Linked DNA regions of Macaca mulatta. The protein of the gene in region 2 interacts with the protein of the main gene of each other region in a pairwise test. Links are inferred from orthologs where the notes say so. Each region holds a gene or a part of one and is shown on either strand. Other genes may lie near its edges. The genes, in order: VIM, PNMA5, ZMYND19, TBC1D22B, CCNC, RAD23B and ZBTB25.

The links.
Region 1: the proteins of PNMA5 (region 2) and VIM interact in binary tests that used the Homo sapiens proteins (3 or more experiments, as listed by UniProt). The link is inferred for Macaca mulatta from reciprocal best matches to the Homo sapiens genes PNMA5 and VIM.
Region 3: the proteins of PNMA5 (region 2) and ZMYND19 interact in binary tests that used the Homo sapiens proteins (3 or more experiments, as listed by UniProt). The two-hybrid records come from large-scale screens. The link is inferred for Macaca mulatta from reciprocal best matches to the Homo sapiens genes PNMA5 and ZMYND19.
Region 4: the proteins of PNMA5 (region 2) and TBC1D22B interact in binary tests that used the Homo sapiens proteins (3 or more experiments, as listed by UniProt). The link is inferred for Macaca mulatta from reciprocal best matches to the Homo sapiens genes PNMA5 and TBC1D22B.
Region 5: the proteins of PNMA5 (region 2) and CCNC interact in binary tests that used the Homo sapiens proteins (3 or more experiments, as listed by UniProt). The two-hybrid records come from large-scale screens. The link is inferred for Macaca mulatta from reciprocal best matches to the Homo sapiens genes PNMA5 and CCNC.
Region 6: the proteins of PNMA5 (region 2) and RAD23B interact in binary tests that used the Homo sapiens proteins (3 or more experiments, as listed by UniProt). The two-hybrid records come from large-scale screens. The link is inferred for Macaca mulatta from reciprocal best matches to the Homo sapiens genes PNMA5 and RAD23B.
Region 7: the proteins of PNMA5 (region 2) and ZBTB25 interact in binary tests that used the Homo sapiens proteins (3 or more experiments, as listed by UniProt). The two-hybrid records come from large-scale screens. The link is inferred for Macaca mulatta from reciprocal best matches to the Homo sapiens genes PNMA5 and ZBTB25.

The regions. Positions count from the first base shown.
Region 1 is NC_133414.1:18,791,344-18,794,285, reverse strand, and holds part of VIM (vimentin), read right to left. Parts: intron 1,539-2,942; coding exon 1,443-1,538; intron 1,356-1,442; coding exon 1,194-1,355; intron 442-1,193; coding exon 316-441; intron 1-315. UniProt on the Homo sapiens protein: Vimentins are class-III intermediate filaments found in various non-epithelial cells, especially mesenchymal cells. Vimentin is attached to the nucleus, endoplasmic reticulum, and mitochondria, either laterally or terminally.
Region 2 is NC_133426.1:159,265,407-159,269,743, forward strand, and holds the start of PNMA5 (paraneoplastic antigen-like protein 5), read right to left. Parts: upstream 2,840-4,337; 5' UTR 2,709-2,839; exon of another isoform or gene 2,609-2,708; 5' UTR 2,547-2,608; exon of another isoform or gene 2,533-2,546; intron 2,353-2,532; 5' UTR 2,231-2,352; coding exon 884-2,230; 3' UTR 1-883.
Region 3 is NC_133420.1:4,862,159-4,866,496, reverse strand, and holds the start of ZMYND19 (zinc finger MYND domain-containing protein 19), read right to left. Parts: upstream 2,868-4,338; 5' UTR 2,636-2,867; coding exon 2,585-2,635; intron 1,081-2,584; coding exon 1,021-1,080; intron 204-1,020; coding exon 97-203; intron 1-96. UniProt on the Homo sapiens protein: May be involved as a regulatory molecule in GPR24/MCH-R1 signaling.
Region 4 is NC_133409.1:144,981,068-144,985,360, forward strand, and holds the start of TBC1D22B (TBC1 domain family member 22B), read right to left. Parts: upstream 2,820-4,293; 5' UTR 2,674-2,819; coding exon 2,618-2,673; intron 1-2,617. UniProt on the Homo sapiens protein: May act as a GTPase-activating protein for Rab family protein(s).
Region 5 is NC_133409.1:86,296,658-86,300,758, reverse strand, and holds the start of CCNC (cyclin-C), read right to left. Parts: upstream 2,849-4,101; 5' UTR 2,716-2,848; coding exon 2,684-2,715; intron 1-2,683. UniProt on the Homo sapiens protein: Component of the Mediator complex, a coactivator involved in regulated gene transcription of nearly all RNA polymerase II-dependent genes.
Region 6 is NC_133420.1:51,067,561-51,071,136, forward strand, and holds part of RAD23B (UV excision repair protein RAD23 homolog B), read right to left. Parts: intron 2,416-3,576; coding exon 2,288-2,415; intron 1,484-2,287; coding exon 1,313-1,483; intron 1-1,312. UniProt on the Homo sapiens protein: Multiubiquitin chain receptor involved in modulation of proteasomal degradation. Binds to polyubiquitin chains.
Region 7 is NC_133412.1:137,601,757-137,605,919, forward strand, and holds the start of ZBTB25 (zinc finger and BTB domain-containing protein 25), read right to left. Parts: upstream 2,805-4,163; 5' UTR 2,626-2,804; intron 2,624-2,625; exon of another isoform or gene 1,677-2,623; coding exon of another isoform or gene 1,618-1,676; exon of another isoform or gene 1,539-1,617; intron 1-1,538. UniProt on the Homo sapiens protein: May be involved in transcriptional regulation.

The DNA.
Region 1 (2,942 bases), on a different chromosome or scaffold from region 2:
CAGAAAACCCCAGCTGTTCCCAGAAACATTTACAGACCTTCTGCAATAATTTCCATTAGTGGCAAATGGCGACCACTATAATTTTTGGTGGAGAATACAAGTACCAAGTCCTTCATATGAGAAGCAATGATATATGCAAGCTAAAACCTTCAAGAGCTCCATCAAGTCCATTTTGAGTCTGTCTTGATAATTCATTTTCTTTGCATTAAGGTATAAATTTTTACTCACTTAGCATTTTGTTCAGGTTATCACCATGAGCTTAGTCAACAGAATGAGTCGTTATTTTCCCTCTTTTACTGCAGGGTTGGTACTCACGGTTCCTTTAAGGGCATCCACTTCACAGGTGAGGGATTGCACCTGTCTCCGGTATTCATTGGACTCCTGCTTTGCCTGGCGTAGGGCGTCATTGTTCCGGTTGGCAGCCTCGGAGAGGTCAGCAAACTGTTAGGAAGAAAACAGAAATGTAGATTGCTCACATTCAAGTCTTTTGATTCTCTTAGAAAAAAAATCGTATTTCTCACTGAATGTCTTCCAGTATAGGTTTAAATTTCTGTTTTGAAAGTCAGGGAAAGAGCAGTGGAGTACTGACATTAATATTTTCAAAGTTCACTCTACTATGCTCATTTCAACACAGTGGACGTCAAAGGTATGGCATTGGGGTTTACTTGGAGGCAAGGTTAGGGAAAAGGGAGTCTGCTATTCTGAACGAGGTGATGTGGCCAGGTGTGGTGGCTCACACCTGTAATCCCAACATTTTGGGAGGCTAAGGCGGGTGGATCACCTGAGGTCAGAAGTTTGAGAGCAGCCTGATCAACATGGTGAAACCCCATCTCTACTAAAAAGACAAAAATTAGCCAGACATGGTGGTGCTTGCCTGTGGTCCCAGCTACTTAGGAGGCTGAGACAGGAGAACCACTTGAACTTGGGAGGCGGAGGCTGCCGTGTGCCAAGATGATGCCACTGCGCTTCAGCCTGGGCAGTAGAGCAAGACTCTGTCTCATAAATATACATATATATATATAAAGGAGGTGATGTGAGTGGTGGGAAGGCCGTGGCGACAAACACAATGTGAGCAAGAAGTCAAAGCCAGCTTTGCATTGGAGCTAGAGGATATTTAGGAATCGCACACAGGTATGGGGTATTGAGAACACAATGCTTTTCTTTTGTTCAAGCCACACTGATTTGTTTCCTACCTTGGACTTGTACCATTCTTCTGCCTCCTGCAGGTTCTTGGCAGCCACACTTTCATATTGCTGACGTACGTCACGCAGGGCAGCCGTGAGGTCAGGCTTGGAAACATCCACATCGATCTGGACATGCTGTTCCTGAATCTGAGCCTGCAGCTCCTGGATTTCCTGCAAAAAGAACAGACAGACGGTCAGCTGTGCCAGCCGTGGGGGCTGCCTTACCCTCATTCATTCCCCAAAAGTCACTCCACTAACCTCTTCATGGAGTTTCTTCAAAAAGGCAATCTCTTCTTGCAAAGATTCCACTTTGCGTTCAAGGTCAAGACGTGCCAGAGACGCATTGTCAACATCCTATTTTGAACAGAGAAAAGACAGGACATGGAGGATGTAAAAGTCTATGGCTTATCTCATTTATTTGTCTTAGATTAACCATCTGAACCTAGTCTCCTTACTATAGAAAAGGTGTTGACACATTTTATGACCCTTGAATAGGTTTATAAATCATTCAGTGCTATAATATGCTGTGCTTTCTCCTGCTCACTAATATATTTTAATTGTGACCCCTTGTGTTTTACTCAAGGTGGTGATCGGACAATTTTAAAATAAATAAACGTCCACACACATGGTAAACTGCACTCAATCATGACTGAATCCACATTTTACCAGTGACATTTTAAAATTACTTTTTAAGGCTGGTCATGGTGGCTCTTGCTTGTAATTCCAGCACTTTGGGAGGCCGAGGCGGGTGGATCACTTGAGGTCAGGAGTTTGAGACCAGCCTAGCCAACATGGCGAAACCCCATCTCTACTGAAAATACAAAAATTAGCTGGGTGGGTGGCACACACCTGTAGTCCCAGCTACTTGAGAGGTTGAGGCAGGATAATTTCTTCAACCCTAGGAGGCAGAGGTTGTAGTGAGCTGACATAGCGCCACTGCACTCCAGCCTGGGCAACAGAGTGACACTCTGTCTCAAAAAAGAAAGTAATTCCTTTAATTTAATTACCTTTTAAATCTAGAAAATCTATGCCACAACATTGTTAAGATTTGTTTTGTAATTTCATGGAATAACATGATGATAGAGGTGGACATATTTTCATAACTTCATGTACACTTGAGTACATGGAGAACAGAAACTTGTGCTTCAAGAGTTTTAGCTTTTTTTCCCCACTCAAATCTTTTGAAACTTATCCTTAGGCTCCAAAGCAAATATGCAATCATGTGGCATCCATTGTACAAGGCTAGATTTATATTCAATAATAACCCAATTCAGGATATGCTGCCAAAGATTCAGTTCAGGAAAAATTGGAAAAGAAATGTAACTCTGAACTGTATTTTCTCTGCTTTCTCTGATGGATTTTTCTTCTAAAACTCCTTTGACTCATCCTACAAAGGCGTGTCTTTTTCGCTTGCCACTGTATCCGTTCAGTTGGCCTGTTTCAGAATGACTGGTCAAACTTGCAGAGAATGAAACTACATGAAGGATTTTTGCTGATTCAGCTGTCCTTCTATGTTTCCATTTGTAAAGCTCAACATTCCAATTCAGAACATGTAATCTTGCAACTAAGATTTTATTTCCTCTCAAAAGGATGCGTGAGGATTGTTTATCTTGTCAGCAATTATATTTGGAGTTCAGTTTATAGCCTTATGGTCTTAAACTGTTGAGACTTTTCTATCACCTTAGTGGAAAAATGAATGAAGAGTGGGTGATAAAAAGATCAGACTTGATGAAAACATTCATTTTTACTTGCTAAGCC
Region 2 (4,337 bases):
AAACACAAACATCCCCAAGAGAACAAGCAGCTGCTGGCCGAGATCTACACCGGCAAAGCAGAGGTGGAGTTCTTGACACGGAACAGCAGTGAGCAGAGCCTGGGCCTGGTGATGACGCAAACCAAAAACAACTACCCACCCCCAACAAGTCCTCTCTTCTCACACTTCTTCCTCCTCCTTCCCCTCTTCCTCCTTCTCCTCCCCCTCTTCCTCCTCCTTTTCTTCCTGCCCCTCCTTATTCTCCTATTCCTCCTCCTGATCATCCTCTTCTTAATTCTCCTCCTCTTTCTCTTCCTCACTGGTGCAGGGGGTCATGAATGCTGCCTTCCTGGGGCTCCCCTCATGCAGTGTAAATGATCCTAAAGACGGGCTGGACCCTGCAGCCTCCCCTGCCGGGCTTCACTTCTCCCCCACAGCTCTTCCTCAGCAGCCCTGGCTCCTTCTGGCAGAGGCAGGCCCCAGGCAGGCTCCTCCAGGTCCCACATGGCCTGGGTGCCAGTGGGCATTCTCAGCTCAAAGTTCACAGGGTGGATATTTGGGGGTGTCCAGATGACCAGGCCAGAGCCCCCAGCCACACCGTCTTCAGCCCCTGCTTTGTTGGGGTCCCCATCTGAAGCCCAGCCACCCCCTGTGCTAAGTGTAGCTGTTCCCTGCTTGTGTCTCCTATACCTGTTAGGGGCCATGGGCCTGGCCCCCACTGAACCAGATGCTATTTGGTCTAGGTTGGTGAAGTCCCTTCCAGCTGGTGGAAAGTAAAGGGGCTTGATCTTGACCTGGCTTCCCTGTCCCTCTGCCCCAATCAAGTTCCCTGTTAGTGTAAGCTGCCCTTTGTTCAAATGTCCCTGCTGCCTGCCAGGGGAAGGAGTGCTTGGGTCTTCTGAGCCTATGTTTCCCAGGGCTTGGGATGGCTCATGGCCCCAGCCCCTGCCTCGTTTCCCGACTCCTCTCCTGCAGCCTGTGGCCCCTCCCTGCCTGGAGTCTGGTTTTCAGCCTTGGGATACATGGCCTGGCCATAGTCTTCTTCCCTAGTGCTTTCACTGCACGACAGCCGCCTGCGTTTCACTAATGGGGGTAAGCCTCCCTGTACAGTCTGGGTGCTGCTGTCGCTCAAAGACCTTGCCTGCACGGTGGCCTGAGGTGCAGAGGCACTGGCTTCTGCTCTTGCCTGTCTACCAGAGGCCCCCCGGCCTCTCCCTGATGGCTTCTCCTTATTCTTCATCACTGCCTCAGTGTTCTCCCACTCTTCTTCATCTCGAATAAGCTTCATTAACTCCAGAAAATTGGGAGGACACCCTCGCTGATCCAAGAGCTCCAGCTTGCCTCTGAGGGCGGGGGTCATGGAGACCCGAGCTAAGAGATGTTTCAGACGAATCATGTCTGCGCTGCGCACTGACAAGGGGCTCTTCTGCACTGCTTTCTGCAGCAGGGGCTCTAAGCGCAGCAGGAAAGTGGAGACTTTCTCTCCAATCTTCGGAAAGGTCTGCAGAAACTTAAACTGAGAGGCTCTGAAGTCCTCTTTATCCCCAAAGATCTGCTTTAAGGCGTCAAGGCACTGCTCCACAGTTATGGAGTCATTGTTGGCCTGGAGCACCCGCATGATTGACAGAGCAGGCCCTCGTAAGCTCTCCAGCAGACGCCGTCTCTTCTCCATCTCAGACACTTGCCATATGGGCATTATCTCAGTGACCTGCTCCAGCCAGTCTTCAAAGGTCTCTTCACCTGGGCTAGCGGAAGCAGTTCCCGAAAACACTTTCAGTTTCCGGTACCACATACTTTCTTTCAGAGGCTCTAAAGGTGGGGGTCTAACTTGGGGTACGACCTCTGCATCCAGGCTCTCGGCAGGGAGGCTGCAACATCCCAGGGCTCTGGCCACATCTGTCATACTTCGGCCCTCATCTTTCAGGAAGTAGTTCAGTCTAATGAGAAACTCGTCATCTGGGTTACGGGGTTTTACCACCACTTCCCAGGAGCCCCCCTTTCCTGGTATGTGACTAGGCAGAGTAGTGTAATCGACAGTGTCAGCCAATTCAATGAAGACTGCCTTGGCGTTGTCTTCCCTCCTGAACATTCTCCCTAGCACCCTGTATGCGCGCAGGGGCTGTAAGCCTGCCTGCACAGTGTCCTGAATTTCCACCTCACTACACTCCACGGGGATGCCTATGATCAGCAGGGCCTTTCTGGGGTCCATGTCCATCCCCTTGCACCAATCCTCTAGCAGTGTCAATGCCATTGCTCCCACTTTCTATGGACTGATCTAATACTAGGGCAGCAATCAGCTTAGTTTGACAGCACTCAAATAACTCTGAGCCACTGCCACGTAGGAAGGTAGAAGTGGTCCCAGGTTTCCACAGCCTGCAAAGCAAATGGGATGAGAGCATTGTTAATGCCTACCCCAACCTATACCCCCAAGCACCCCTCCTCTGCCCCCACCCCCGAGCAGGGATGGAGTCCCTTCTTCCCAGGGTTCCCCAAGTTATTTTGGGGAGGGTAGAGGGTGGAGGTTCTCCCCAGGCAAAGATCTCCTCATCTCACCACTCCCTGCTGACCTCCTCCTGCTGTGGGTTCCTCCTCGAAGTCCAGAGGACTCTGCTGTGTGTGCTTCGGGTATCTGTAGTGAAAAGGCCAAAGTCAGGAGGCAGGGCCTGACATCTGGGGACACTGACAAGCTCTCCAGGCAGAAGAGGGCAGGAGACGGCCTCACTGCTCACTCAGGGCTATGTGGGCTCAGGTCACCCAGCACCCTCCTTGCTGGAGTGAAGGCTGGCAGCAGGAGAGGTAGAATGGCCCTCTTTCTCAGGAACGCCTGACAGATGAGAAAGATGGCCGAGCTCTGCGCAATGCAATGAGAGTGGTGGGTGTGGAGATTGTGTGACAAGCTGCAGTGTTGCCATGGATACAGAGAATACCATGGACCATGGGTTGCTATTGCAGGGGAGTGTCATGTGGTAAGGCTAAGGTCCTTGAGAAGCAACAGGTGATGTCATTGGCCTCCAACCAATAAAGCTTCCCAGCAAAAAGGAGGGTGGGAGAGGGAAGGCGAGGTGGGCTTGAGGAGTGAGTGCTGAAAGGACAGGAGCTCATGGTTTCAATTGTGTGGAAGCTGAAATCAGGTAGAAAAGGGACCCTGATGAGGTCCCCACTGCCAGACTGCAGGAAACCAACAACTCTTGCCCTAGAGATGGCCCTACCCTGCAGAGTCTGTGAACGCTGGCAGGCAGTCCCCTCTCCACACTCTTTGCAGGGGTTCCAGAGACCCTCCCAACAGGGCCCACCTCACAGCTGCTCACCTTTCTGGGTTGGCCCTGCTGGCAGCGCAGATGCTGCAATAACACAGTCACTTCAGAGTCGCTCTGCTCTTCAACTCTATCCAATTAGGCAGTTCCTGACTCAGGCGTGATGGTTCCTGCTTCCCTGGATCTGTCCAAGGCAAAGCACAGGTATTTTGCTGTGATTCTGTCCCACACACATGTCCCTGCTCAGGCCATGCCAATTCAGATTCTGCATAGGTGTCCACTAGGACCCTGGTGCAGGGGTAGAAGAAACTGCACAACTGGCAGAGGGAAGAGGAGGGGGGAAAGGGGGGAGGGGTGGGGGGGAAGGAGGAGTGGGGGGAAGAATGGCGAGAGGGGTGGGAGGTGAGGAGGGAGGTGGGGGGCGGGGGGGCTGCTGCTAGGGCAGAAGGGATCCTAAGGTAAGGTTGCGGCCCCACCCCCACTGCAAACTTCATTCCCTCCCAAGCCCCACCCCTGCAGCCATGTTGCACCCCTTCCTAAGCCCCACCTCAAAACTTGCACGCCTGCTGCCAAACTCTGCCTACAACTAAGTTGCACCTCTACCCCAAGCCTAGCCCCCCACCAAGTCCAACTCCTTCCACCACCCAAGTCTAACTCCCGCCTCAAGCCCTGCCCTCACCCACAGTCCAACTCCTACCCCAAGCCCTGCCCCCTCACCAAGTCCAACTCCTACCTCCATGCAAGTCTAACTGATGTCCCCAAACCCCCACCTCCATTTCCCTGTTCCCCCAATCCCCACCCTGTTATTTACATACACCCACACCACCGACACCAGTGGAAGCAGGCAGAATCTAGGAGGGGAAGGTTCGAAGCCACTTTCCCTCAAGGGCAAGGGCCAAGAGCTACTGTCCTGACTGCAGTGTCTCCGGGCAGGGTCGAGGGTGGAATACGTCTCCCTGAAGTTTTTTTTTCTTTTTTTTGAAACGGAGTCTCACTCTGTCACCCAGGCTGGAGTGCAGTAGGGTATGATCTCAGCTCACTGCAACCTCCGCCTCCTGGGTTCAAGCGATTCTCCGACCTCAGCCTCCTGAGTAGCCGGGATTA
Region 3 (4,338 bases), on a different chromosome or scaffold from region 2:
GGCCTCAGTGGGGCAGGGGGCTCCAGGCGCCCTGTGCCATCGGAGCTCACCCAGGAGCCCAGTGGCAGGGGGCAGAGGCAGCTTGGAAACACCCACCACAGCAGTTCATGAAGGAGTCTCCCAGAGCCCCTTCCTCGGTTCTTGTCAAAGGCATAGGCAAATATCTTAGCACCATTTCCATCTGCATCCACTTCCATTCGGGCCTGAGAAGGAACAAGGGAAAGAGCTGTTAAAAAGCCTCCAATTCTCAGCAACACTTCAATTCCCTCTTAGAAAAACCAAGTGAAACAAGCAAGCCAGAGGGACAAATGCCAGCCCTGTCCCTGAGACCCTGGGGAGTGCAGAGCCTCCCATAGGCACATGGCTCCCAGGGGCCAGCGTGGCCCACCACCACTCTGTCTATCCAGGCAAGAAACACTCACAAACAACTCTGCAAAATACAATGGACATAGACAAATACATTTTCCTACCCTTGAAAAAAGCCCACAGTGCAGTGAGATAGAGAAACCCCTGGACAAGTCACTACTGTGAATGTGTGGGGCACAGAGATAAAGTGTGGTGAGGGAGGCCAAGCTCAGTGGCAGGAACGGAAGCTGGGAAGAGGCAGGAAGACCCCATGAGAGCAGAGAACGGGAGGCAGCTGGGCAGCCAGGAGGGGCTAGCGCAGGCTCAGCAGGTGGCAAGCTCTAAGGAACAAGGTCTTCGAGCTAACAGACATGGTCCACGTGACACAATCGCAAACGTGAGAACATTCCATTTGCTTTCAAGAAGAGCTAACAGCTGAGGTGAAAGTGAGGAAAGACCAGTGTCGCCAAGCCGCGTGGGCCACAGTGGGAGCAACAGCCAGGTTCTGCGGGGCCACGGCTCCATGTGGGGCTGAGGGCTCAGGGCTCACAGCCAGCCCCAGATGTCCACTTGTGGGGCCACCTGCTCTTGCAGCACAGGGGAGGGCTCGCTCCTCGTGACCCTCCTGGGCACTGACCACAAGCATTAAGGGAGGGAACAGGCATCCTTACTTACCTCAAAGGAGTAGCTTTCCACCAGCGGGATGTCCTGTTCATCGATCAGCGTGTATTTGGTCTGAAAGTTAACCACATGTTTCAAATCATTACATTTGAGATCTGCGTGAGGTGCAGTAACCTTATAACCAGAACAGGCAGGAGCCTGTTGCATTTTCCTGTGAAGTGGAAAGTAACCACAGGCGTCTTCAGACCAAGACAGCTCAGCACACGGGGGCCTCATTCCACCATCTGGGGTGGTGCAGTCTACGCCAAAACACAGGCAGACTGGTTAAAAGACAGCAGACCACTTTCATCTGCTCCAGAGGAGCTGGTATCAGGCCTCATCCTCGCAGGCCTAACTCCAACAGTGGCACGGAACATTTAACACACCAATAAACCTAGGCAGAAACGGTTTCACTGAGCTGAGGGAGGGTCCAAGGCTGAGGCAGAAGAGCCAGAAGGTTATGATTAGGGTGTGTTTATTAAGCTGAGCTGCTCATTGAATTGCCCTTTTCAGTTTTTTGTCCATCTGAAATGTTCCAAAGAAAAGCTGTAAGGGATGACAATGTCATCGGTGGTGGAATCAGAAGGGGTCTCAGGTCTCTGACCTGACTGGGGAGCCCACCCTTCCCTGGTGGAAAAAAGCCTCCTCCCCAGCAGGCCCTGCCTATGCTCTTGCAGCAGGGGCAGGAAACAGGAACAGGTCCCAGAACGGGCCAGTCTCCCTCTTGGCAGTTTTTCTTCTGGGATCTGAAGCTGTTTTACCTGACGCCGCCTGACACTGCCTCCGCTCCTCTCTCCCACCAGAAGCTGCAGCCGCTGGTGACGGCAACAGGGCTCCCATCCGGGTAAGGACCCCGGCTGGTGCAGCTGCACAGGTGGCTCCGAGAAACCGCCAAGCCTCAGTGCCCACAGGTGCCATGGAATCCCCAGCCTCAAACGTGCAGCGTGGGGGCCAGGTAAGAAGAGAAATCGAGGAAGGCCCTGAGTCTGCATCAGGGCCCAGGCTTCTTCCTCTCTGCTCTGAGCCCGAGGCTCAGCCTAACCTGGCCAACCCCTGGCAGCGTTAAAACGAGCCCGAAGCCCTGCTGAGAACTGGGAGGCAGAGAAGAGCCCACACCAGACCCGCCTCGGCGAGAGGTGTGGAGGTGGCGCTGCCTCGGAAAGGGCGCTGTGTTTAAACCGTGTGGCCGCACCGGCAGCCCGGACGCCGCGCTAGGCCCCGGCTCCCCGACACCACGGGGAGGGCTCCGGGAGAACGCGGCCGGGCTCGAGCCACGCATCTCCGCGCCCGGCTCGGGACAGGGCCGTGGCCTCCGCCTCCGGCAGGGCAGGGCCGAGGGCGGCCAGGTGCGCCCCGCCGCCGAGGGGTGCGCGCCCGCCGGCCTGCGAGAGGAAGCTGCACCCGCGCGGGGCCAGCAGCCGGGCCCGCGCAGCGTCCCCCGCCCCGCTGGGGCCCATCCCGGGCTCCGCGCCCCCGCCCCGGCCGCCGCCCGCACAACCGCCCCCGGCCCCGGCCCCCGGCCCCGCGCGGAGGCCAGGACGGGCGAGACGGGCCGGGCCGCGGGCTCCGCGCCGCTCACCTTCCCGGCCACCCGGCCGAGCCGCACGATACCCAATTTGAAGTCGGTCATGGCCGGGCCTGCGCTCTCGGCCGGCAGCGCCGCTCCCTCGGGAGGCGCCGGGCGGGGGCCGGGGCGAGGCCGCGGCGCGCCGGGGCAGGACGGGACCGGAGCCGGGGTCGGGGTAGCAGCCAGGCGGGCCCCGGGCGGGACGAGGCTGGGCCGGGCTCGGGCCTCCGCCGCCGCCTCGCGCCCGCCGGACCTGCCACGCGCCGCCGCCGCTGCCGCCGCCACCGCGCGCACCACAGCGAGCGGAGCGGAGGGGCGGGGCGCAGCCCGGGACACACCCCCCGGCCCGCCGCCGCTCGGCCAATCGCTAGGCGCGCACGGCGCCGGCCGGAGCGCGCCGCGCCGCAGCAACCAATGGGAGGAGGGCGAGTGCGCCGGCGCTCTGGGGAGCGGGGCGAGCGCGGGGGAGGGGCGAGGTCGGGGGCGGTGCCTGCGCGCGCCGACGTCAGTTTCGCGGGAAGCTTTGTGCGGGCCGCCGCGCTGCTCCTGGAGGCGCCGTGCGGAGCGCGGCTGGGGACTCGCGCCGGGTCTGTGGCGCTCTGCGAGCTGGACGCCCTTCTCCTCCCTTGCAGTGGCCCTCGTAAGCTGCTTCCCGCCGCCGTCCTGGCCCCAAGCGCGGAAGGAGGAGGCGGACGGAGCGCGTGTGGGGCCCGCTGGGTGGGCGGGGAGCGGGCGAGGCGGGCTAGGAAGAGGCCGTTGCCGCGGGACGCGGGTGCTCCTGGAGAGACCGCGGACGCCCGGCCCACGCGACCCGGAGGGCGCGGCCTCCCCCGCAGCCTTTTCCGAGCCGCCGGTTCCTCAGCCCCGGGGGCGGCTGACCGCCGGAGCAGCCTGGTCCAGGGCGTCTGGAAACGGAACTCCAGTGAGGCCGGTTGGGCTCCGCGGGAATGCCGAGGCCCGCTCAGGGAGGGACTGGGTACGCCGTGGTGGGCAGCGTGGCCTCCCCTGCAGCCTGGAGCGAACGGGGCTAGGTCCTGTGTCCTGCTCCGCCGGTGTCCGGTCGCCCGCGGGGAGGCCTCACCCTGCCGCAAGGGGCGACTCTGCCACCTGAGGAGCTGCCCGGGCCCCTTTCTGGCTTGCTGCGTTCTGTTTTCTTTTCTTTTTTTTTTTTTTTTTGAGACAGTTTTGCTCTGTCACCCAGGCTAGAGTGCAGTGGTACGTCCCCGGCTCACTGCAGCCTCTGCCTCTCGGGTTCAAGCGATTCTCCTGGCTCAGCCCCCAGGTAGCTGGGATTACAGGCACGCGCCACCATGTCTGGCTAATTTTTGTGTTTTTAGTAGAGACGAGGTTTTGCCATGTTGGCCAGGCTGGTCTCGAGGTGATCTGCCCACGTCTGCCTCCCAAAGTGCTGAGATTACAGGTGTGAGCCACCGTGCCCCAGCCTGCAAAGGGTGTTCATGAGTGAGCCCAGACGTTCCATCTCTGGGTCCCCTGGTACTTACCAGTACCCCAGACACCCTAGAGGAGAGAAGGGGATAATGAGTCCTGGCCTGCCTGAGACACACATTGGGATTCAGGCTGGGCCTTGCTCAAAACATACCTGTCCGGCCGGGCGCAGTGGCTCACACCTGTAATCCCAGCACTTTGGGAGGCTGAGGCGGGCGGATCACGAAGTCAGGAGATCGAGACCATCCTAGCTAGTATGGCGAAACCCCGTCTGTACTAAAAATAGAAAAAATTAGTCAGGCGTCCGCCTGTAGTCCCAG
Region 4 (4,293 bases), on a different chromosome or scaffold from region 2:
CAGGTATGTAGTTTCTTTTCGGGATGATGAAAATGTTTTGAAATTAGTGGCGATAGTTGCACAAAACCATCTGTACTATAAATGAATATACTAAATACCACTGAAATGTACACTTTAAAAGAATGAATTTCATGGTATATTAATATCTCAATAAAGCTGTTATTTTTAAAAAGAATGTTTCATTCATTTGTAACTTGTTATTTTATGTAATAAAATTTTTATTTGTTGTCACTAAGGTTGTTGGATCATGATCAGACAGAAAGAATCTTGTCATCGCTTTGATTTTTCACCTTTCAATTTGCAATGAAGAGTAAAGCAGTTTCATTTCCAAGTTGCCATGCGTCTAGTACAGTCATTTGTGTCATTTCCCCACCCAGGAGAAAGTTTTTCTTCCCTAAGACCGAAAGAGTACAGATGCAAAAGTTCTATTCTTGACAAAATGCTCTAATATTTTCTTTAAATCAAAGTACCTTTCTATCTAAAAGAACCTTAGTTTTCTCCCACGACCAGAGGCTTGTGGGCTTTACTGCTAAAAGCACACAGCTGAAAAATATTTCTCTTTACCAAGTAAGGTACTAAAAATTATTATGAATTGTGACAATATTTGAATACCTTAAAACAAACAAGGAAGACAATGAGCTGGGGTAAGGATCTGAGTAACATTCTTTTAAATGTTTACTTGCTCTAATAATGACAGTAATATTAATAACTACTGTCTTCTGAGCAACTATAATGTGCTAAATAAACACTGTCCTAGGTTCTTTACAAATAGGGTATTTCACTTAGTCCCCACAGTAACTCTGAGGAAGGTATTTTTATTTCTCATTTCATAGATAAGGAAACTGAGGCCTAGATAGATTATTTGTCTTGGTCACACACACAGGAGAGCCCAAATAGTAACCCAAGTCTTTCTGAACTCAAAAGTTCTCTATTTCTCTATATTCTTCGAAATGAAAAGGGAATCCAGAAGCTTGAAGAAACTGAAAAGACTTCTCTTCCTATCTCAGAAAAGTAGTGCTTTAAAAAAGTTGACTGTTCTTAGAGTCAAATACAGGAAATACAGGAAAAAAAGATTGTTAATAGCAACCACCAGTCAGAAGGCACAGAAGCCCATGCCATGTCCCACATCTCTTGCACTGCTTCCTGATACAACTGTCTTCCTATTGATTCTGATTATAATCTTAGGATGTCAAAATTTAATGATCTCACTATGGAAAACCCCGGAGAATAGCAGTTAGCACAACTAGAGAGCTCACTAAACCAGGAAGGAAAAGGAATCAGTTGGCAGGAAGTGGTGCTTACCTAAAAACACAGAACATCTTTAACAGTTATATCAACACCGCAAGTCCGCAGCACTTTAATCTGATGTTATCTTTCTATTATTTAATAAGTATTACTAAAAGCTGATTTCCACCTATTTTCCATATGTCTACTAGGATCCTTAATAAAACAAGACTCTTGGTGGGGCATGGTGGCTAACGCCCACAATCCCAACACTTTGGGAGGCCAAGGCAAGAGGATCACTTGAGGCGAGGAGTTACAGACCAGCCCAAACATAGTCAGACCTTATTTCTATTTCATTGGGGGGGGGGAAAAAAAAAAGTAAGGCTCTAACTCAGCCACTATTGACCCTCATCTCCCTCTTGCTTAAAAAAAAAAAAAAAAAAAAAAGTCACGAGTTCAAAAGATCATCCCAGAAAGAAAAAACCTGAATCCATTAGAAAAGGTAGCACGTGGGGCACAACCAAACATGAATTTCATCACCAAGTAGACTGTGGCTGGCAGAAATCTTAGATTCACGACTGAAATACACACTCTTCCTTATACTTCTCAGGACTTTGCCCAAAATAAACTGAAACAGTAAACCAACAGTAGACTGATGAATGGATAATTTGCCAAAAGTCTCAACATACACCACAAAGAGGGTGGGAGTAGTCTTAGGAGGTCTGCTCTCCAGCTAAACAACTGAAGAATGAAAGAATTTAGTGCATTTGCACAAGAAGTGCATTACAATACAGGGGAGGAAGAAGTCACTTGGGGTTGGACAAATCCTTAGAAAATGCCAAAGGAATAACCTGATTCTGTGGTCGCCTTGTAATAATTCCCAGTGGGAAAGGCCAACTCAAGATAAAGTAAGGTCGGAGTTGAGAATTGTCCTCACTTTTCCTGCCTAACCCTCTCGGCAGGCGACCCCAAACTCCCACAAGAACCCTTCGGGTAAGTGCCGAGCTGGGGGAGCAAGCCATCCTCGAGCGACCAACCACCTGTGCGTGGTGGAGACCCCTGAGAGGGAGTCCTAATTAGAGTGGGAAGCAGCTCTGGGGAGGAACCCCCGAGACCAGGGCCGACACTGACTACTCACCCAACTCCACTCCCCTTTACGCCCAATCTTCGGCCACCTTCTCGCTGAGGTCACCCCTCCAGAAACCTCCGCCCCCAGACCCCGGTCTACACCCACATCCAGCCGTCCCCAAAGCTCGCTGTTCGCTCCTCTGCCTGACAGCTGCCCCAAACCAGTCTTCCGGCCTCGGTGGCGCCCCAGGGCCGCGGGATTTAGGGATTAGGATCTGGAAGGGTTTGGTCCAATACCCTCTCCCTCTCAGCGTCCTGGGCTCACCTCCCCGGCAGCTTAGCGCTCCTCTTCCAAAACTGCTTGCTGTTGTCAGCGGCCATTGCTCTGGCAGGGGGAAGGCCTTGTAGGCGGGCCAAGGGGTTGCCTGGCGAGATGCCCCCAGACCCCGCAATCTGAGGGCCAACCCAGGCCGCTTCCCCGCCGCCGGTCACCCGCTCCCAGCTCCTAGGGACGCCATCTTGGATGTGGGCACCCCTCCACCCAGCACCGCTGCCATTGGTGGGCTGCGCAAGCCGTGGACGGGCCGACCAATCGGGAGCCGGAATCCTGCAGGCCGCTGAAGCCAACGGGTAACGTCAGGGTCTGGGCACACAGGTGGACGGGGAAGGCGGAGCTTGGACGAGCAGAGAGGTGGGGCTCAAAGTTCCTAACCCGCAAGAGGGAAGAAGCAGGTAAAGTAAGGGACCTATGGGAAGGAAGAGAGGGGATTATCTTCTTCGTGAGGAATGAAGTTCCTGAGTCTAATATTTTTTGGCAAGAGAGAGCATACTATGTATTTATATATAGGAATATTTGACCTAAAAGTAAAGGCCCATGTGTTTGTTGTGGCCCATTTTTAACATCTCTCAACTCAATGACACTCTGGTTATTACCCTCCCTTCCTCGTTCCGTTTAGATGTCCATTCGTTTTTCTGAAGGTCAGCAGGGACCCGATAGCCCGGGATTGCTAACTGCTCAACACGTGAGCAACGGTTCATCAGAGTCTCCCTCTCCCTCTGTTTATTGAAAACGATTGAAGGACTTGTGCTGTGGGTGAAAAATTCAAATGATCTAATCCCTATGTCAATCCATAACTCTCACTTTCTGACTATGCTAACGGTGTATAGGAAATGGTTTATCATAGCTGTCCAACTCAGATTACCAAATACGATTTCTTTGAAGGACACAGTATAGCTCCATCGTGTGAATCACAAAGTTAAGGATGTATCTCCTCCCGGCCCCACCAACATCCTTAATTTCCCTTGTTAATCTGTTATAAATCTTGCACCCTTGAATTTATTTTCAATCTAATTTTCCCAGACAATGAGATTTAATATTAGCATTTTGAATCCTTTGAATGTCTTGTCGGTGTTTTTTGCTGTTTTTGAGTTTCTGTGGTTGTATTCCGTGGTGATTTGGGGAGAGAGGGAAAGCGGGCACCAGTCCAGAGTGGTTTTTGTCCCATCGAAGGACTGTTGAGGTGGGCTGCGTGTCCCCCACTCCCCCGCCACCCTCCATTTACAGCTACCACATGTACTTCCACATATTGGAGAATACATAAAGACCCGACCCCCGACGGGTATGTCCTCCAACGACGGTTTCTACATTACTCCCATTTTCAAGCTTCTTTTGTCCCCTAATTTTAGAATTATAGGATTGGATGATGAGGGCTATTTTTACTTCTTCTGAATCTTTCATGCTTTTATACACTTTCATCTTATTTTCTTCATGGGCATTTAACCCAGGAAAAAAAGAAAGAAAAAGTCCCTGTATTCTTTTAATCATTTTACCTGCCATTCTCTGGCACTTCTTTTTCTTAGGATGCAGTGACCAGCACTGCACACTAAGCCCAAAGAGGGATGTACTGAGGCTTTGTTAAGGTTGATGTTTTGTCTTTATTCTGAACAGCCAGAACTTTTGCTGGCTGTTTGGGCTTTAGAAGAGTTGATGTCTTGAAGGAG
Region 5 (4,101 bases), on a different chromosome or scaffold from region 2:
CCACTGTCACGTTTTATACTTTCAATGTAATGTTAGACTGTATTTGGTAATAATTCATTTACAATGTTTGCATCAGTATTCAAAAGTGAGACTGTTTTTAGTGTTCCCTTTACTAGATTTTTCTGTAAGTGTTATCATGGCTTTGTAAAGGAAAGCTTTTCTTCTTTCTGTATGAAATGGAACAATTTCAAAAGGAGATTCTCTTGAAAGATGTATTTACCCATGAAATAAGGCATAGTTCTTGGGTAATACTCTTAACTTGCTTTGGCTTTCAAATTTAAAACCCTGGAGATAACCCAAAAGTACCCTTGGGTTTACTTTTCTCATTCCTAATTTTGTATTTTTGTATCATTCCTTTCTCCCCTGATTTAACTAGCAGTAGTTTCGTCTACTGTTTTTGTTTACTCTAAGAATGATCTTTTATAATTTTTTTCCTTTTAATATATTAGCATCAGCGTTATCTATTTTAAGATCTTCTTCCTGTTTCTTTAGGCTTATTTCATGTTTCCTTCTTAGTATTATTAAATAGAATATTTCTATTATCTCTCAATTATTCAGGATATTGATTTTCTAATACATTCAAGCTTTGGTTACATTCCATATATGGTAATATTATGATGTTATTTTATAGATATTAAGTAACTGTATTTTCAGTTTCCTTTTTCACACAATAAAGTATCCACAGTTAGTTTTGTAGTTTCTATTTTTGTTACTCCTTCATTAATGCATTCAATCAACCCAGCAAATACTTAGTCCCCTTCTAGTTCATTTTGGTCACAGACTGTGTTTTGTTCTACTTCAACTACATTGTGGTTTGCTAATTAATTTCATCCCCACAGAGTCATTTTATGTTTTTAAAAAGATAAATTTCATAAATTTCACAAACATTTTATGAATTTTCCTCAGAGCTGTGTATGCAGGATAAACTAAAAAAATTTATAAATACTGCATTTCATCAAATTTAAGATTACATCTTGGATTCATCATTATTTCATATGCTATGAAAGAAACTGCCATGCTCATTTCAAAGATGTTAAAGTGTGAAAATATGCATCTTAGAAGCATGAAATATAGCATATTTAATGTCAATTGCCCTCTTTCACCAAATTCAGCTAAAACAATGGCCTTTCAAAATCTTTTGTTTGTTTTTCCAGAATTGTCTTGTCTTCCATACTTGTTACCTTTTCCAGATAAGAAACTCTATGACTGCTCAAGGGATCTGAGCAAGGCAAAGTGATCCCTTCTTTTAGGAGTATTTGAATTGGGAGAATAGTTTCAAAGAAGTACACTTAACTTTGTAATAATTTTATATTTGAAAAGTGAAAAAATGTTTTTATAACGCTATGAATAAATGAAAGCATAATGAGAACACCATTGAAAAAAGGTAGGAGCTTTTTTTTAAGTTGAAAAACTGACAAATCACCAGTCAGCTACTTGTCAATTCTCTCGGCTTCTTTCAAAGTTTATCAGAATCTCTCTTCTCCACTACCTAAATTTTTTTTTCAGGAGCTCTAACTCCAATACCTAAACTTTCGATACTTTAATTCTGCCCAAGCAATATTTCAGTGTGTGAAAACAATGCAACATATATATAATACACACACACACATATATATACACACACATACACATATGATCAGTTGCCTGCCTCTTTAACATGTCATCTCCACAGAATCACTTTATAGCAAGAGGAAAACCTGCTTTTCCTTAAATAGGTTACCGAGTTCATTGTTTCTTTTTTCTCCTTGCAAAGGGCTAAAAAATGAACATCAGGAACAGATCCTATTCACAGAATCGAAATTTAAATTACTTACTAATGCTTTCTTAGCATAAAAAATTATACTAAGATACCTTCTTTGTCAAGTTCTGTTCATCTTTCAACTATACAGTGGAAAGCCTACTCAATGTTCAATTAACCCCATCACGCACCTTCCTGCCTGCTTAAACAAATGTATTTAGAGATAAATGTTTTTAATATTATTCTAGCTCTCACATAGTCACTGACAGAAACAAGAACTTATTCATGAAAAAGGTTAAAGAAATAGAGAAACAAAATCACTGGAAAAATACGCCTTTAAAACAAAATATAAGGCACAGGCTAATGAAATGGATAAGTTTACAGGGCACCTGCCCTATACCTTATCAATATAAAACTCCATCTAGACATAAAGTACTGGCAAGAAGAGGTTAGTAGGCAGAAACAAGCCAGACTTTCTCCTCTCCTCAGAATATTAAATCCACTCAAGATATACAGTGAATGACAAAAGACCACGACGCCAATCACCCGAAGAAATCCCAAGCAAAAGCACGCCACAACTGTCCTGAACAGGTAGCCTCACAGTCTTGAGCTGAGTCACACTTCCCGTACCTGTGCCCACTCTATCCGACCCCCTGCGGCCTAGTTAAACTAAAAATCCGAAATTAAACTCTGAAACGTTTCTTCCTGGGAGACTAAACTCTCTCCCACCCCTCCCCCTCACAGATCCTTCCCTCCCCGAAACGGGCTGGGGGCGGGGAGGGGAGTCGCCTCAGAAAAGAGCATCTTGCTTCTGGCCGCTGCCGTCTCCCTTGAGGACCCCGGCACTCGGAACTGAGCCGGGATCCAGGCCCAAGGGAGTCGCAGGCCCCTTCCTCACAGCCCCCCAAAAACCGGCCCCAGGTGAGAAGACGTAAGATCACTTACTAGTGGGAGCTCTGCCAAAAGTTCCCTGCCATGGAACACAGCTTGCCCTGATAAAAAAGCACCAGCCGGCGGAGCGGCCCGCGGAGCGACCATAGACCCAGCCCGTCCGGTAACCGCGCTCCTCGATCAAATCAGCTCGGCTCGACTCCGCTCCGCGGCGGCGACGGCGAAAGGAAGAGGATGGCCCCCTAGTCTCCTTCACGCCGGCCGACAACACTCAACTGTGCAAACCCGTTCCTATCGACAAAAGTTCCGGCCCGCGGTAGCGGAGGGAGCCGGCGGGGAGGTGCTGACCTGTGGGGGCGCTGAGATAGAAGAGAACTAGTGCTCACGAGAGCTCACGGCGGTTGGAAGACTCTCGCGAGAGCGTCTTGCCTGTTCTGGCCGGGGGCCCACGGCGCTCGGTCTCCTGTCCTCAGCACTGGAGTTGCTGAGTAGGGGTCTAACCTGGGCGAAGTGGCTGAGTTCCGGGGTTCTGTTATTACCTCTTCCAGGACTTCAAAAACAGAACAATGGCATTGTAATAAAATAAAAGATTTTGTGACTTATTTTACCTGTGATTGGAAAGAGAAATAAATGAAGATGACTTTGTTCTCACGGATCAAGTTTTTTTTGTTGTTGTTTTTGTTTTTTGTTTTTTTTACCTTGCTCTGTCGTCCAGGCTGGAGTGCAGTGGCGCGATCCCGGCTCACTGCAAGCTCCGCCTCCAGGAGTTCGAGCGATTCTCCTGCCTCAGCCTCCTTCCCGAGTAGCTGGGACTACAGGCACGCACCACCACGCCCGGCTAATTTTTGTATTTTTAGTAGAGATAGGGTTTCACCATGTTGGCCAGGATAGTCTCAAACTCCTGACCTCGTGATCCGCCCGCCTCGACCTCCCAAAGTGCTGGGATTACAGGCGTGAGCTACCGCGCACGGCCTATTTTTTACTTTTGAGACAGAGTCTGGGTCTGTCACCCAGGATGGAGTGCAGTGGCACAATCTTGGCTCACAGCAACCTCTACCTTTCGAGTTCAAGTGATTCTGCTGCCTCAGCCTCCCCGGTAGCTGGGATTACGGGGATTACAGGCGCGTGCCACCACGTCCATCTAATCTTTGTATTTTTAGTGGAGAGGGGATTTCGCCAGGCTGGTCTGGAACTCCTGACCTCAGGTGATCCATTCGTCTCAGCCTCCCAAAATGCTGGAATTAACAGGCGTGTGAGCTACCAGGCCCGGCCTGGATCAAGCGATTTCTTTCTTTTTTTTTTTTCTTTCTTTTTTTTTCTTTTTTCTTTTCTTTTTTTTTTTTTTTGAGACAGACTCTTGCTCTGTCACCCAGGCTGGAGTGCGGTGGCGCTATCTAGGCTTACTGCAACCTCTGCCTCCCAGGTTCAAGAGATTCTCCTGCCTCAGCCTCCCAAGTAGCTGGGACTACAGT
Region 6 (3,576 bases), on a different chromosome or scaffold from region 2:
CTTGTATATGGAAAATCCTAATGAACACATGCACAAACTACTTAATGAATAAATAAGAGTTCAAGAAGGTTTTAAGATAAAAGATCAATAAACACAATTAAATTGTCTTTTTATATAGTTAACAATGAACAATCTGAAAATGAAATTAAGAGAAAAATCCATTTATAATAGCATCAAGAAGAATAAAAATACCTAGGAATAATTTTTTAAAAAGTAGTGCACAACTTCTACACTGAAAACTACAGAACACTACTGAAAGAAATTATAGAAAAATCTTATTATTAATATGGCAATACTCCACAAATTTCATCTATAGAATAAAACAATCCCTATCAAGATCCCAACCAGAATTTTTTTTTTTTTTTGCAGGAATCAGACAAGCTGATGCTAAAATTTGTGCAAGAATGTAAAAGATCCAGAACAGCCAAAACAATCTTGGGAAACAATAATAAAATGGGAACAATTAACACTTCCCAATTTCAAAACTTACTTAGAAAGCCATACTAATATGCACTTTATCTGATTTCCACGTCAAAACACTTAGTAAGATAAGACAGGGCAAGTATTATGATTACTATGATTCCCTGTTTATTGTAAAAATGAGGGAGAAAAAGAATAACTAATCACGATATAAAAACTAGGTTACTGGAATCAGGATAGCAGATTTCTGATGTTTAATATAGATAAAAAATAAATACAAATAAAAACCCGAAAAAAATCTAGAATTGGGTATTTACTTCTAAGACTTTTTCTTCTTGAATTTTAACACAGCAATAAAATTATACCTTTACTGCTTGTCCTTTGGCTTCACAGAAGACAAGATGGCGGAACAGGGTTAAGAGGAGACTATCTTTACCGCAATCCATAGGGCAATGCTCTATTTGGCTCTGTCCATCAGAACTATCTCCAGTAAATGAAAATGTTCTACATTGGTTCTATCCAATAGTAGCCACTAACCCCATGTGACTTCTGAGCACTTGAAATGGGGCTAGTGTGACTAAGGAATTTTTTAGAGTCTCACTCTGTTGCCCAGGCTGGAGTGCAGTGGCGCAATCTTGGCTCACTGCAACCTCTGCCTCCCAGGTTCAAGCAATTCTCTTGCCTCAGTCTCACAAGTAGCTGAGATTACAGGTGCGTGCCACCACTCCCAGCTAATTTTTGTATTTTTAGTAGAGATGAGGTTTCACCATGTTGGCCAGGCTGGTCTTGAACTCCTGACCTCAGGTGATCCGCCCACCTTGGCCTCCCGAAGTGCTGGGATTACAGGAGTGAGCCCAGCCAAGAACTAACTTTTTTAAAGTTTTAAACTCACCCTTTCTATAGCTTCTTTTTCCTGAGGCGTTACTTGAATGTAGTTCATATGACCACTTCCAGCTTCTGCAATTCCTCCACTGCCACCTCCACCTCCTCCTCCTTGACCACCAGCTTCTTGAACTGGTTCATTTAACATCTGAATAAAATGCTCCTGGTGTTGGCTAATTTGCTGTGGTGACATGAATGACAGAGAAAAATAATACATTGATATTAAGCATCTACAGGAACAGAGGAATTCTAAATATTACTAAGAGAAAAGGCTACACTTTTGCAAACGTAGTATTTTAGGGATTCTGGATTATTCAGTCTTTGGAAGGATGTGATTTCTTGTACATTAGTAAAGAAATGCAGTACTTTTGGGCAAAGTAAACAGTGAAGAAATTCAAATTCTTAAGGCTCTGAGCCTCCTGTGCTAAAAAACAAACAAGCAAACTACTGTGGCACTGTAAGAACAGAACTTATTCTTTATACTTGCATATACTTTTACCTTCCACACTAGTGGGCACTAAAATGCTGTATAAAATTCAAAATACTTGGTGATCTGAGCATTAAAGAAGCCCCACACCTATTTTTTCTAAGAGTAAGTTGTTCCTATTGCTTAGAAGTTCCTAAGAAAAAGGAACTAAGAAATAAGCTTGTGAAAAGTGATTTAAAGTTAGGCAGTTTCTTTGTTAAACAGCTTCCCAAATTCTTTAACATATTAATGTCTACTGGGAATCTCCAAGAAGGAAATATAAAATGTTTCCCAAACTTATTATTATTTGGTCAACTTAATTTAACCCAACCTCTATATCCCAACTGTTATTTGAGTACACCTATCCAGATTACAATATTTTACTAAGTGTAGCTTGGAAGAATACATTCACCATTCTCAAATACAGAGTTGTATTTGAGGCGGGGAAGGACCGTTCATGGACTTTTTCAAAATGTGATACACTCTAACCTACTTGTGAAACTGACACTGATTAGTCACCTGAAGTAACTGAGGATTCTCTCGACCTATCTGCTGTAGTAATGCTGGAAGCAGGGAAGGATTCTGTTGAATAATTTGTCTCATCTGTTGAAACTGAGGTTGATTCCGTAAAAATTCAAGGGGATGTCCTAAAATACACATAAACGTTTTTAAACAAAAGCAGTAAATACATATACAAAGAGTGGTTAAACAATACATTTACACAGCAAACACTATCAAGTAAAAAATGATTTCTCAGATGTAATAAATGAAGTAAATAATGATGAAATCTTCCGACCATATCAACTTGCAAGTTTTATACGGCAAAAATTACTCCTATTAGCAAATGCAGGGAGTGCAGAACGCTGACTGTAACATGAACCAAACTTGCCTATAATCGCCCTTGGCACTCAATGTTATAAAATAATCCTAGATACTTGTCCGCTACGCGTGTTCTATCAAAATAAAAAGTGCTAAAAGTTATTCCTGTTGCTTAAAAGTTCCTAAGAAAAATATACACCACAACTAACAAAAACAAAAACTCACTACTTTATAAGCTGTATGGCAATCTAGTACTAATATACCTAAACTCTTCAGTCTAAAATCCATTCACAATAATAAATGTTAGTAATGCCAAATAAAATATAAAATACAGAACTTGTGGCTTTTTCAGGGTGCTGGTACTTCTCTGGTATGCTATAGGAAACCAAAAATCGTACATAAAGGAATTATGTTTTTGAGATTACTAATGAAGAAAAGAGAATTTTTAGATGTATGTTGTAATTTCCTATTCAGGAAGACAATCATTCAAGCTGAAATGACCATAGCACATGGGTTTTTTATTCTTCCACATATAATACTAGCTTTATAGGTGAAGGCAATGAGACTTAGAGACTATGTTACCTAATAAGTGCTGAAAGGAACAGAACCCCAAATCCAAAGCAGAGCTGTGGCCATCTCTTTCCACTCCCATGCTGAATCACAACAAACAAAAGGCCTGTCCTCTGGAGACTGTACACAAAGCACTGAGTGACCTCTGTCAACCAGAGGTGACTATCATAATCAGAGCTAGGAAATGCATAAAAGAATGGCCTTTTCAAGATCAACAGTTTATATTACTTTATTAATACACAGAAGAACGAACGAAGGAGAACACTGCGTAAATCCTAAGCCGACCGCAGGTTCCAGGTTCTGCTCTGTAGTCAGACCTATAGCAATGTGTGGGTATGGTCAGTACCCCAGTAAGGAGACTTCAATTCAAGCTCTGCTTTCTCCTCTAGATACAAGGTTTGAAACCTCTCAAGGTCTCA
Region 7 (4,163 bases), on a different chromosome or scaffold from region 2:
TCTAAAATAAATAAATAAATAAACTAGAAGTATAAATAAATTTAATAAATAATCCTGAAACTGGTGTTTGCTTCAAACACTTTCTTCTTCCTCCTCTATCCCTAAGCAGGTTCAAATAGCAGTATCTTTCCTTTCTTAAGGAGAATACTGCTATTCTGGTTATTTTCAAAACCTATTATTATAATAAATACTATATGCAAGGCCTTGTGCTAAGTGCTGTATATACATTATCTCTTAAAATCCTCACTGTGATGACTAATGTATTATTTTCATTTCCATTTTACAAATGAGGAAAAATCCTATGCTTAGGACACACAATCAACAAATGGTATAAAGCGGAGATAAAAAGCCAGGTCTGTCTCCATAGCCTGTGCTAATAAACTAGAGCAGTATTTTCTCAGCTTTCTCTCCTTAAAAGACTGAAGTTCACATGCTATTTGGAATAAATATGCAGAAAAGGGGCACAGGAAGTGGTGTAGAAAGAAGCACTTTATAACTTATCAAGATAAGAGCACCTGCACTGCTTGTTTAAAACAAGGAAAAACCCTGCAATAACATAAAACCCCCAACTCTTTTCTGGCCCTGTTATTGCTAAAACGGACAAGTTGGTCAGGCACCACCTACGGACCATAGTAAATAAATCACTTTGGTTCAGTGGTGGGGAGGGCATTATGCAACACTTCCCAGCACAGCCCTGGCCAGGATATTTTACGGCCAAGGCACTTGGGCCCCTCCTCCCCAGCTAGACAGCCTGGCTCCTTCACATTCCCCTCAGGAGATAGGGTGGAAGCTCACAGCTCCATTTTGTAAGGCATAGAGGGCAGCTGAAAGTCCTGCTTGGCCTCTCTGGGCAACCACAGGCGCCAATAAATCAGCCACAGGCGATTCTCTCATTCCCTTCCTGGCTGAAGCAGGAGCAAGACATAATGCAAAAGAGCACTGATTGGACTTGAGAGATAAGCGATCTAGGCTTAAATTCTACTGCAAATGACTATATCACCACAGCCCAGGTAATGGCCTGTTTCCTCAGGCTTGTAACATGAAGACAGTACCATCTCCTTTTTGGTAAAGATACAAAGTTCATTTATGAAAGCAGCTAGTATGATACTTCGCCCACTGCAAGTATTCAGTAAACAGCGGCCAACTTGAGCAGAATCCATCTCTAATACATGCAAATAAGACATTCAAGGTAGGACTGGACAAAAAAGGTGTAGCAGGTTATGTGGGTTCCTCTCTGCTTTCTTCCTGACCATACCTTGATATTTCATTGATTGCCAGCTCTCAGAACTAATCTATTCCATGTCCTATCCCATCAGTGTTCTGTTCCCTGTTAAGGAGCTGATGTCCGATAACGGATTCATGATTTGCCCTTAACTAAAATATATGAAGATTGTTAAAGAAGACTTTGATGCCTTAACATAAGGAAGCAACCAATGCTGCAAATAATGGTTATTCTTGAAGAGAACAGCAATGAAATTTTCAGGGGTGGCTGAGGGGTGAAGGCTTTTAGTTCCAAAAATACACCATAGCTGGCCTACCTCACTAGAAATACTATCAAACCCACACAGTGGCCATGCCTGATTTCTCCATAATCTGAATCAAGCCAAGTATAATGACCTCCGCCGGATACATTCTCTACAGGTGAGTGGGGTAAACTGGCACTGCGGTCCTGGCATAGTGGAGAGTGCAATCACCAAGGTGTCTGGAGCCTTGGAGTCTTAGCTATCAAGAGGTGTAGCTAGCTCCAGTTACATCACGCTCTTTAGGCCTGGTGTCTTCTCTGTGATGATCAACAGATTTTCTGTAAGGCACCGCTCAGCTCTAAAACGTGAGATTCCAAAGTGTACTCTACACACTTGATAGTCTTGTGAGAGGATCAATAGCTCTGCCAGACGAACTTGAGTTTCAAGAGAAAGAATGCCAAATTTAATCCCTTGGGGGAGACCCGGGCGCTGACTGTTGAAAACATGCTAGGTGCTGTCAAGTTCCAGGTACTACGCTGTGCTATGCGCTGCCTCCGCAACTGATAACACCTGATTACTCCAAATAATGAGTGCCAGAGAAGGCGGTGATGGGTCAAGCTTCAAAAAGAAAAACTGGATTTGCTTAGAACAAGATAAACATTTGAAGACAGAAAATAAATTATGAGGGCGCGGGGAAAGTCTTCTTGCCCTAGAAACTAGGTAATCACAAGCTGGGAGTGGAAACACTAGCCGCAGCGTCCTCGCAGCATATGGAAAGTCGCCCGCTCCTAAGAGCGGTGGGCGCCAAGCGGGGGAGGCCGCAGGCCTATTGGGGTTTCCTGCTAGGGGTCGCACCCGGACCCGCAGCACGGACGGCTCCGCACCTTCAAGGCACCCCGTGTGCCACCCTGAATCAGGCCCCGGCGGCCGCTCCTAGCAGCAGCAAAGGGTGGTTCTGGGTATTGTTGGCCCAGCGCTCACTCGCGGATGTATTTTCCTCCTGTGCCCTGCCTGACATCTCAATGGGACCAAAAACACCCCTCTCCCCAGCTACTTGCATCTGTCCCGCGACCGGTGCAGCTGCAGGCCGCCGCCCTGGGCGGCTCGCGGCGGGAGGGACTGAGACCGGGGCAGCCCACAAGGGCTGGGCCGCGTCGCTTACCCAGATGCCGCCGCGGCGGCAAGCCGACTCCTCCGTGCAGGAGGGGCGGGCTCCCAAGCCGCGCACAGCAAGCGGTGGAGCCGGCTCACGCACCCCGCGGCTGGCTCTCGCGCGGCTTCCCGCGCCGGCAGCCCGCGATGGCCCCACGTGACCGCGTGTCTGGTAGCAGGGGAACGAGGGGCGCCAAGGCCAGGGTGTGCGTGCGTGCGTGCGTGCGTACGTGCGCGCCCTCCCGCCCGCAGCCGGGCGGGGGTCGGCCCGCGCTCTGAGCGCTGCCGCTACAGTTCGCAGTCGTGACTCTGTAGGCGGAAGCACAGGGACGAGCCTGAGCGTCACAGGCTCCCCACAAACAACCGCGTGACCCGGGGACTTTCCCCAGGGTGTGCAAAAGCACAGGCACCCCCTCAGTTCTGGGGTGAAGGTGGGGGTGGGGAAGGATGCGCCCGCGTGTTCGCTGGGGAAGGGATGAGGGCGCGGGGCCAGGGAGGCCGAGCCGCGGGAGCCTGGGTGGAGAGGCGGACTGGGCGAGGTGGGGCATGGCGAGGGAAGTGACTCAGGGCCAGAGGCGGACAGGCCCACGGAAGGTGGGGTGGGGGGAGCGCGGGGACTAGGCGACCCTGAACCGACCGGACAGAGCGAGGTTTCCGAAGCACTCGAGGCGGACCGCGAGGGACGGCCCAGCTGCTGGGCCCAACGGGGCAGGGGTCTGACATCTGGACAGAGTGGGAAAACAGCCGCGCATACTGCCCTGGGGAGTCGGGAGGAGCCCAGTCACATCCAGCTGTGCAAACAGGAGGAGGAGGAGGTCCCAAGCCTACCCTTGAGAGAGGGGCGAGAGGGGTGGTCAAGCCGCCGCTGCCGCGACAGCCCCCGCGGTGCGGGTTGCGCCAGCCTCCTCGGAGCCCGACGCAGAAACTTGTTGCAACAAACAGGCGACCGCGGGTGCCCCTAGCAGCCAGCGGCAGAGTGGGTGGGCGGGCGAGAGGGAGGGGAAGGCTGGCGGACGCCGCAGCGAACTGGTGGGCAGACCCGGAGTCGCCGCGTAAGCGGGGCCGGCTCAGTGCGGTGCGGCAGGCGCGGCTGTGCGGCAGCGGAAGTCCTTTGTTGCAGCACAGTCCCTGGCAGAGCCAGAGCCTCTCCGCGCAGCCCAACCCGAGCGCCGAGCGCCGAGCGCCGCCGCCACTGCAGCTCGCGGCCCCTTCGCCTCCGCCCGCCTTTGCCGTGGCTGATTTGCCTTAAACTCCCTAAAATCTCCGCAGCTCTGGTTCCTGCTGCGGCCGGTAAGTATTTGCCAGTTGTGGGGCTATTTGCGCAACTTTCGCCCGGGCCGGAGGGCGACGGGCCGCGGGCCTGGCGGAGTGCGGGGCCGGAGCGGCGCCGACCCGTGCGGGGAGCCGGAGCGCGGCGGACGCGTTGCAAGGACCCGGTGACGGGCGGCTGCCAGGCCGCCTGCTTGTTGCCGGCGCGTCAGGTCCCGGGCGTGCGGCCTCCCTGAGTCGGAGGCAAAGCCCTTACGGAGACTAGTTCCCAAATTAGTT